2 linked regions of the Notamacropus eugenii genome follow. The protein of the gene in region 1 interacts with the protein of each later gene in a pairwise test. Links are inferred from orthologs where the notes say so. Each region holds a gene or a part of one and is shown on either strand. Other genes may lie near its edges.

Region 1 (3,919 bases):
GCTGGGGAGGGAGAAGTAGAATGTAAGGCACACAAATTTTTCAATTTAATCTGCATTATTAACCATTTCTTAAGTCTAGATAATCAACTAAATAGCAAATCAAAATTGTAAAGATTGCTCATTTCTGAAGTGTAAATGCTCACACTGAAAATATAACCATTTTTCACATGCCAGCTTGAGCTGACTCCAGAACACCCCCAACTATCACCCTTTGGACAATATCTTCCAAAATGTTGGAGTGATGGTCGGGGTGATACTTAGAATGAATGCTTTCAGACTCTCTGAAAGAAGAGTTGTACTTTGAACCTGGCTGTAGGACATCAAGAAAATCCAGCTTTGACTCAATCAAGAAATGAAATAAGTGGAATCCTTGTTTAAGAAGCATTGAATGTTATATCTGGAAGAGATTGCCTAGCTTTGTGATCTTAGGCAAATCATTTCATCTCTCTGGGTCTCAGTTTCCTCCTTTGTAAAATGAGGTTAAATGAGATTTTTTTTTAAACATTTAAACATGTCCTTTCTTAAAATTATTTACTCCATCCCTCTCATTTTGGCCAGGTAAAAGGCCATTTTAATTATCTTATTAAAATTAAAAAATTATTTTGTTAAATATTTCTCAATTACATCTAAATTTTTAATATTCACTTTTTAAAAATTTCATGTTTTAAATTCTCTCCCTCCCACCTCTTTGAGAAGGAGGATTTCAGTTAGATATGTGAAGTCATGCAAAATATTCCATACTATGCACATTGCAAAAGAAAACACACAAAAAACCCCAAAGAAAAATAAAATGCAAAAAAGATAAAGTGCTTGAATTCTTTCATAGCTTTACTTTCACAACAAATTCCTCATGAGGAAACTGAGGCACATAGAGGAAAAATTTAAAGTAGCAGTTGCCGAGGAAGTTTCTCTTCATGGGTAGGCAGTCCATGTGTTAAGTGTGAGTGAAGAGGAGGTCTACACTTCACAGGAGTGAAGACACCTGCTGAAGTGTCTTCAGGTCTTGGAGGAAGAAAATACATAGAATACTGTAATTAGTCAGGATGGACCTGAGTTTAAATGTAGCCTCTTGTTTGATAACTTGGGCAACTTATTGTATCTTACTTTCTCCTTCTGTAAAATGGGGCACGCACTTCTCTGGGTTGTTGTAAGGATACAATTACGTACTAAAGCTAGTCTTTACAGATATTATTTTATTCTCATAACAGCTCGGGGAGGTAGGGACTCGCATTATCCCTATTTCAAATTTATATCAATGCCAGCTACCACCTCCACCAGCACTCTCCTCCCCCTCCCCCTCCTCCACCCCCCCTCCCCCTCCTCCCCCCTCCTCCCCCCCCTCCCCTCCTCCACCCCCCTCCCCTCCTCCTCCCCCCCCTCCTCATCACCATCAGCGAGGATCTATCCTTAAGGTCTCACAATGGTGCCTTGATTCCCTAGTGCTCACAGAGAAGGACGAATGGGAAGGAGAGTTTCTGACAGAACCCGGACCTGAAGGACCAGTTTCCTGCGGGGAAGCCTTTGGCGGAGACACCCGCGAGCGCAGCTGGATGTGCTCGGCGGTCCTGAGGGAGGCGCGCAGTCCGGTTTCCATGGAAACGCGGCCTGGTCCCTAAGCCCGTCTGAACCCAGGATCGGTCGCGGAACCCAGACATTGCTCCCAGTGAGTAGCTCAGGATTTGCGAGAAAAGGGGGGGACGCCGGCCTCCTGGTCTCCTTGAGCTGAGGGGCGCACGAAGCCCCCCGGGTGGGAGCGGGGGTCTGGGCTGAGGCGGGGCGCGGGTTGCGAAGGTTCTTGGAACGGGCTGGGGGTGGGGGGCGGCCCAGGTGGGTTGGAAAACTCTAGAGGGAAATTGTGGGGTAGAGGACGGGGACGTTGGGGGGCAGAGACCCAGGGAAAAGCCCCTTCCCCGCCAGCCATGGCCAGCGCTTGTTATTGCCAAGCCTTCAAACGCCGCCTCCGTGGGTGGTGGTGCTAGGCGACCGCCCGAGGGTTCTGACCCGCCGTGCCCTACCTTAGGGGGTCTGCTGAAGCACGGATTGACCCCTTCTCAGCATGAAGTTTTTAAATTCATAGAGTAAAGTGCGTGTTACAAAAGAAACCAATCATATTGAAATATAGGTAAAGTAAAATGCCTAGGGTTACAAAGGAAACATATTGGAATACACTTGTTCATAATTCTTACATAAAATAAGATAGATAGGATTACAGAGGAAATCTGTCCATGAAATACAGTTATCTATTATTTTAATGTAAAATAAAATAGGACTACAAAGGAAATCTGTCCATGAAATACAGTTATCTATTATTTTTATGTAAAATAAAACAGGATTACAAAGGAAATCTATCAATGAAATACAGTTATCTATTATTTTTATGTAAAATAAAACAGGATTACAAAGGAAATCTGTCCATGAAATACAGTTATCTATTATTTTTATGTAAAATAAAATACAGATCACAAAGGAAACAAATTGTATTGAAACAGGTATATAATTTTTATGTAAAATAAAGTAAATAGGACTGAAATTTATCTATATAATTTTATGTAAAATAAAATGAATTACAAAGGAAATCTATCACAATGAAATAGTTATCTATAATTTTATATAAAATAAAATGTACAGTATTACAAAGAAAATTATATTGAAATAGTCATCTACCTAATTTTATGTAAAATAAAATACATAGATTTCAAAAGGAGCCCTATCATTGACATCGTTATTTATATATAATTTTATGTAAAATAAAATATGTAAGATTACAAAGGAAACCAATCATTGAAATATAATTATCTATGTATAATTTTCTATAAAATTAATAAATCAATCAATAAATATATACTGTGTGCCAGGCACTGTGCTATGGGCTGAGGATAAAATACATAGGATTGCACAGGAAACTAGTGATATTGAAATAGTTCCTTGTCTACCTGCTTACCTAATTTAGCCCCAAGTCTAAAAGTTTAAAGCCTCTTTGGAGACCAGCAATCAGTCAACAAGCATTTCAGTAATGCATTTAAATGCTTATTGACTGCATTTCATAGAAGATGGAGGTAGAAAATCTAGTCCATCTCCTTGCTTTGGCAGATGAGGAAACTAAGGTCAGAGGTGAATGGAATAACTTTGGCCAAGATATTGTAGCAAGTAGAATACTTAAAATTTCTATATAAGACAAATTAAACACATTATTTTTTTTATCCATTTTAAATTTTATTTTTAACTTAACCAGAAAACTGAGCATTTTTGTATACACAACAGAACAGAAAAAGATGATTTTATATAAAACTGTGAATCTTTCATGTTGCTTACTTTAAAGAAAACCTACATATACACACTATGATAAATTCCAAATGTCACTTTCAAAATTGTCTACCTTTCTCCCACTTCATTATCAACTGAGAAAAAGGTGGGGGAGACAAAGACCTTTGTAACAAACATAGTCAAGCAAAACAAATTTTGCTTGTCAGGCAGAGAATAATATAATGGAGACATGACTTATCTTTGTTAAATCTTTCAAAGTTGTTTTTCTTCACGGTATTGTCATTGTATGTATTGTACTCTTGGTTCTCTTCACTGAATTCACTTTGCATTAATTTATACCACCCAGAATTCTCAGAAATCATCACTTTCATAATTCTTACGGCATAATGTTATGTGTTTAGCCATATCTCAGTTGATATGCATCTTCTTTGTTTCTAGTTCTTTTCCTTTGTTTTTATATCTATTAATCTCCTCCAGAATCAAGAAGTTTCTTTTACTTACTCTTCCCTCTTCAGTGTTATTCTCCTTCTTGAAATCCTTTTATTACCGCTTTGTTTTCCTCTTGAGTTTGAGGTTATCTCCACACCAAAACTGCTTGCATGTGTGTTTCAATCTCCTTTGTCCATTTCAGTAGGTTCATCTCAAGCTCTTCTCA
Region 2 (3,919 bases), about 310 Mb from region 1:
AGGGTCTGAGATGGGAACTGGACTGGGCTCAGGACAGTCTTCGTTTCCTTCTGCCCTGCTGTCTGCTTTCCTCAGGTGCAGGGGGTCCCCCAGCCCAGCAGTTCTAGCTCATCATGTGAGCTTTGCTTTGGTTGCAGAGCCCACCAAGTGAATTCCTTCAGAATTCTGAGGCCTCTAGCCACAGCATCATGACCCTGGTGCAGCTTTTGGATGTCCATCAAGGGACTGCTAATGGGCCCAACCTCCGCCCCAGAAGGGCTTGGGATTTTTAGGGTTTAGGACCTGGCTAGGTGACCTTGGACAAGTTACTCTAGGTCTCTAGGGTTCAATTTCCTTAATTATGAGATGAGAGGGTAGAAGGTCTCTTCCATCTCTGTCTACACTATTGTCTTTTCACTCTGCATGTGTGTGTGTGTGTGTGTGTGTGTGTGTATGCATGTGTACCTATGTATTATAGATGACAGGTGGTAGAAAGTGAGTCTGTGATTCAGTGATGTAGGAACCGCCACTGTGGGCGTATTATACCTCTGTGTATAACCTGAACCTGTTGATGGACCAACCAGTGAAAAGTCTAGACAGCCAGTGAAGGAATGATCTAGGGGAAGGCACCCCCAGCCCAGGGTAGGGGATGGGGGTGGGGGACAGGTACCTGGTGGCCTCTCGTCGCATCTGGAAGGTTCTGGTGGTGCCACCAGTTGTCAGGAAGGGCTTGACATCCTCCCAGGCCTGTACCTTCTCGCCTTGAGGATGGGTGGTATCCTGAATTGGCCACTGGGAGTCTGACAACAGAGGAAGAGAAGTCAGGAACCCCTCCTCACTCCCCATCCTCCCCCAATGCCTTACCCCAGTGCAGAGGGGCCAGGAGGTTCTAAGTAAGGGAGGTATGCAGGTAACTGAGGCTGGCCTCTTAAGCACAATAACCTTTGGAATGGACATAATCCCACAATGTTGCCCATATATCTCTGCTTTCTTAAGCAGGTGGTGCAGCCTGGTAGGGGATATCCCTGGGTTTGGAGTCAGAGATCCTGGGTGTCAGGGCCATAACTCGAAGTCATAGCTCTCAAAGCAAGCAGCACGAAAGGTTCTCAGTTCAACTTTTTGAGACCAATCCCAATAAGTGGTGAAGAGGAGAGCCTCTAACTCAGGACACTGGCCAGAGACTGTGGGAAACCAGGAGGCTACTTCTGGGAGTGGGAAGGCCAGGCTGGGGAGGGACCCCCTAGTATAAAGTGAAGTGGGGGGTGCTGCCTGGCAAATTCTGATTTTAATGTTTATTCTGGCTAATGGGCTGCTCATTCTATCCACTGACACAGTACAAACAGAAGAACCCCAAACTCCTCCTTTGACAAGTGAGCTGAAGGCCAGAGAGGGCTTGGGAGTCATTGGCAGGGGGCATGACTTACTGTAGAGTTCATCTTCCTGTAAGTGTTTCTGCAGAATTTCCATATCTAAGAGCTTCTCTGGGTCCTTGGACTTTGCCGACTTCCTCTGGAATCCTCTGAGGAGGGCGAAACCAGCCAGATGGAGGGCTTTCCACTTCCTCAGCTGGCCTCTCTCATCTTCTCTGCTCCTGGGCACAGGCAGGGAACAGATGAACTTCTTGAAGGCCCTGTCCACTCTCTCCTCTCCCTCTGCTGCCCCCACCCAGCTGTAGTTACCTCCCCTCACCCTGGGCTCCCCCCACCATCCTTAGCCTTTGGGCCCATTTTGCTTGGAACCCCAACCTTTCCTTGGAAGACAGAAAAGAGGGCCAGGTGGTGAGTTCCCTCCTGCCCTCAGGCCACTCCTCCTCCCTGCCATCCTGTTCTTGCCCTTCCAGCTCCTGGCCATCCTGATAATCCTGGCTGTCCTGGCTCTCTTGGCTGTCCAGCTCAGAGTGAAGCCAGGTTTTCAACTGCCTCTTCATGTCCTGACTTCGGGCCTCCATCTTCCAGTAGAGTGGGAAGTTGGCCGGCTGGGCAGATGGGGGCATGGCCTTCAACCGGGATTTCTGGGGAGCCCTGGCAGGGGGCAAGGCTGAGGTCTTGGCCCTCTGGGCCTTCTGGGGGGCCCCCTGAGGTTGTTGGGTCTGGTGGGAAGAATTGGAGGAAGGCAGGGGCAGGCTCCGGCCATCCACCAAGAAGCTCTCCCAGGCCCACTGGAACGGGAAGGAGGGCTTCCGAGGAGGTGGTGGGATGAGGCTGGGGATGGGGAGAGAAGCGCCAGTCAGAATGTCAGCCTCCCAGAGCCCCGGGTCACCTCCCTGCACCCCCAGTTACTCACTCTTCAGCCTCAGAGGGCTCATTCCTCTTCTTGCCTTTGTTAGATGCGTCTTTCTTTCTGGTATTCCCAGCACTCCGGGCCCGAGGTCGGCCTTGGATCAGCACCCCATCTCCACTCCCAAAAGCACTCTAGAGGGGGGAATGACGGAGCCCCAGTGAATAGCCAGCATCCCTGCCCAGCACAGACCAGAACAGCATGTGCCCTGCATCCCACAGGCGAGGAGAGACGAGTCCCGTCAGCGGCTGATGTCCAGAAAGGGGAAGAGCCTTCTTACAGTCAAGCAGAATCTTAGGTCTGGGAGACAATGACATCCTGGGCCTTCTGACTCATTCTGCCCATGTGAATTACCTCATCATACACATGGGAAGCCACAGGACCTAGAGATCCCTGGATTTTCTCAGAAGAAGAGACTGTCACAGATCCTCCCTGCCTTAAAGAGCCCTTAACCCTTAGGGGACCCTCTGCCACTCCTCCCCCTGCGCCTCCGTGGACCAGGCATCCTGTCTCCAAGCTCTAGGGTCTTGGCAGTTAGAAGCCACATACTTGGTGGGCCAAAGGCACCCCAGAAAGGAGTCCCAGCAGTCCAGTGGCTGTTCCCTTTTCAGATGAGGCTGAAGGGACCCGGACTCGGGCATCCTGGTTAGGTTTCACCACAGAGGCAGCCAGAATTGACTGTTGATGGGTTCTTAGCAAAGTATTCTTCTGCCCCATCCCCCTATTTCAGAACTTCTACAAGCCTGGTCCTGGATCATCACTATGGAGACCAACAGGCCTCTGGGGAGGCATGGTTACCTGGCCTGTGAGACCCTGGCTTCTGAGAGCACTCTGGCCCCTGAAAGCACCTCGGGGCAACTGTCCTCCCTGATCATGTCATAATGTCTTGCTGTGTGTCTGGCCATTTGTAGTAGCCTGTACTGTAACTTTTGTGAGGGCAGCATCTGACCGGAACCTGCTCTCTATCTCCTTGAATGGGGTCTTACATAGTAGGCACACCCTCAGCTCAGGAGATTGACAGCCAAAGGAGGAAACTCAGACTCAGAGGAGGTCATGAGCAGTAAGCGGAGGAGCCAGTATTTGAGCCCAGCTCCTCTGACTCCCAGGGTTTCCCATGGCACCGTCCTGTGTCTAAGTGGTGGCTAAAGAACCCTTGCAGTCTAGGGTCAGGGCCTTCCTCTCTCTGGATCTCAGTTTCCCCACCTGTATAATAAGGGAATCAGACAAGATGATCACTTAAGGTCCCCTCTAGCTCCCACACCCTCTCCCTGAAATAGGGATCTTTTTGTTTGGGTTATACTTCTGCCTAGCCTGGGACCCTGGTCTGTCTGGTCTGTCCCTGCTCTCTGAGCTGTCCCCCCCATGGTTACAGCAGCTAGAGGTGTGAGTCCTGGTCTCTGCCTGGCTGGTAACTCTCTATGGAGCTGGGGGTGGGGGGGACTTCAAAGGGGCCCAAGAGGAGGATGAGCAAGTTTGAGTGTACAAAAGGTTTGATGGGGTCAGAGGAGATGCTCTCCCCACAACTAGCTCTGGGAGTCCAAGGTTCTGTCTGGGAAATTGGAGGCTCCCACCCCACATGAGGGGAAATGGCTTGGTATGCACCGGCCTGGATTCCTCCCGTTTGCCCTTGAAAATCCTATTTGCAAGTTTCCAAACGATTCTC

What was found.
Region 2: the proteins of CCDC57 (region 1) and TSGA10IP interact in binary tests that used the Homo sapiens proteins (3 or more experiments, as listed by UniProt). The two-hybrid records come from large-scale screens. The link is inferred for Notamacropus eugenii from reciprocal best matches to the Homo sapiens genes CCDC57 and TSGA10IP.

What each region holds. Positions count from the first base shown.
Region 1 is NC_092873.1:326,921,167-326,925,085, reverse strand, and holds the start of CCDC57 (coiled-coil domain-containing protein 57), read left to right. Parts: upstream 1-1,521; 5' UTR 1,522-1,663; intron 1,664-3,919. UniProt on the Homo sapiens protein: Pleiotropic regulator of centriole duplication, mitosis, and ciliogenesis. Critical interface between centrosome and microtubule-mediated cellular processes. Centriole duplication protein required for recruitment of CEP63, CEP152, and PLK4 to the centrosome.
Region 2 is NC_092873.1:18,640,504-18,644,422, reverse strand, and holds the start of TSGA10IP (testis-specific protein 10-interacting protein), read right to left. Parts: upstream 2,989-3,919; 5' UTR 2,974-2,988; coding exon 2,806-2,973; intron 2,391-2,805; coding exon 2,263-2,390; intron 2,181-2,262; coding exon 1,725-2,180; intron 1,571-1,724; coding exon 1,404-1,570; intron 780-1,403; coding exon 650-779; intron 1-649.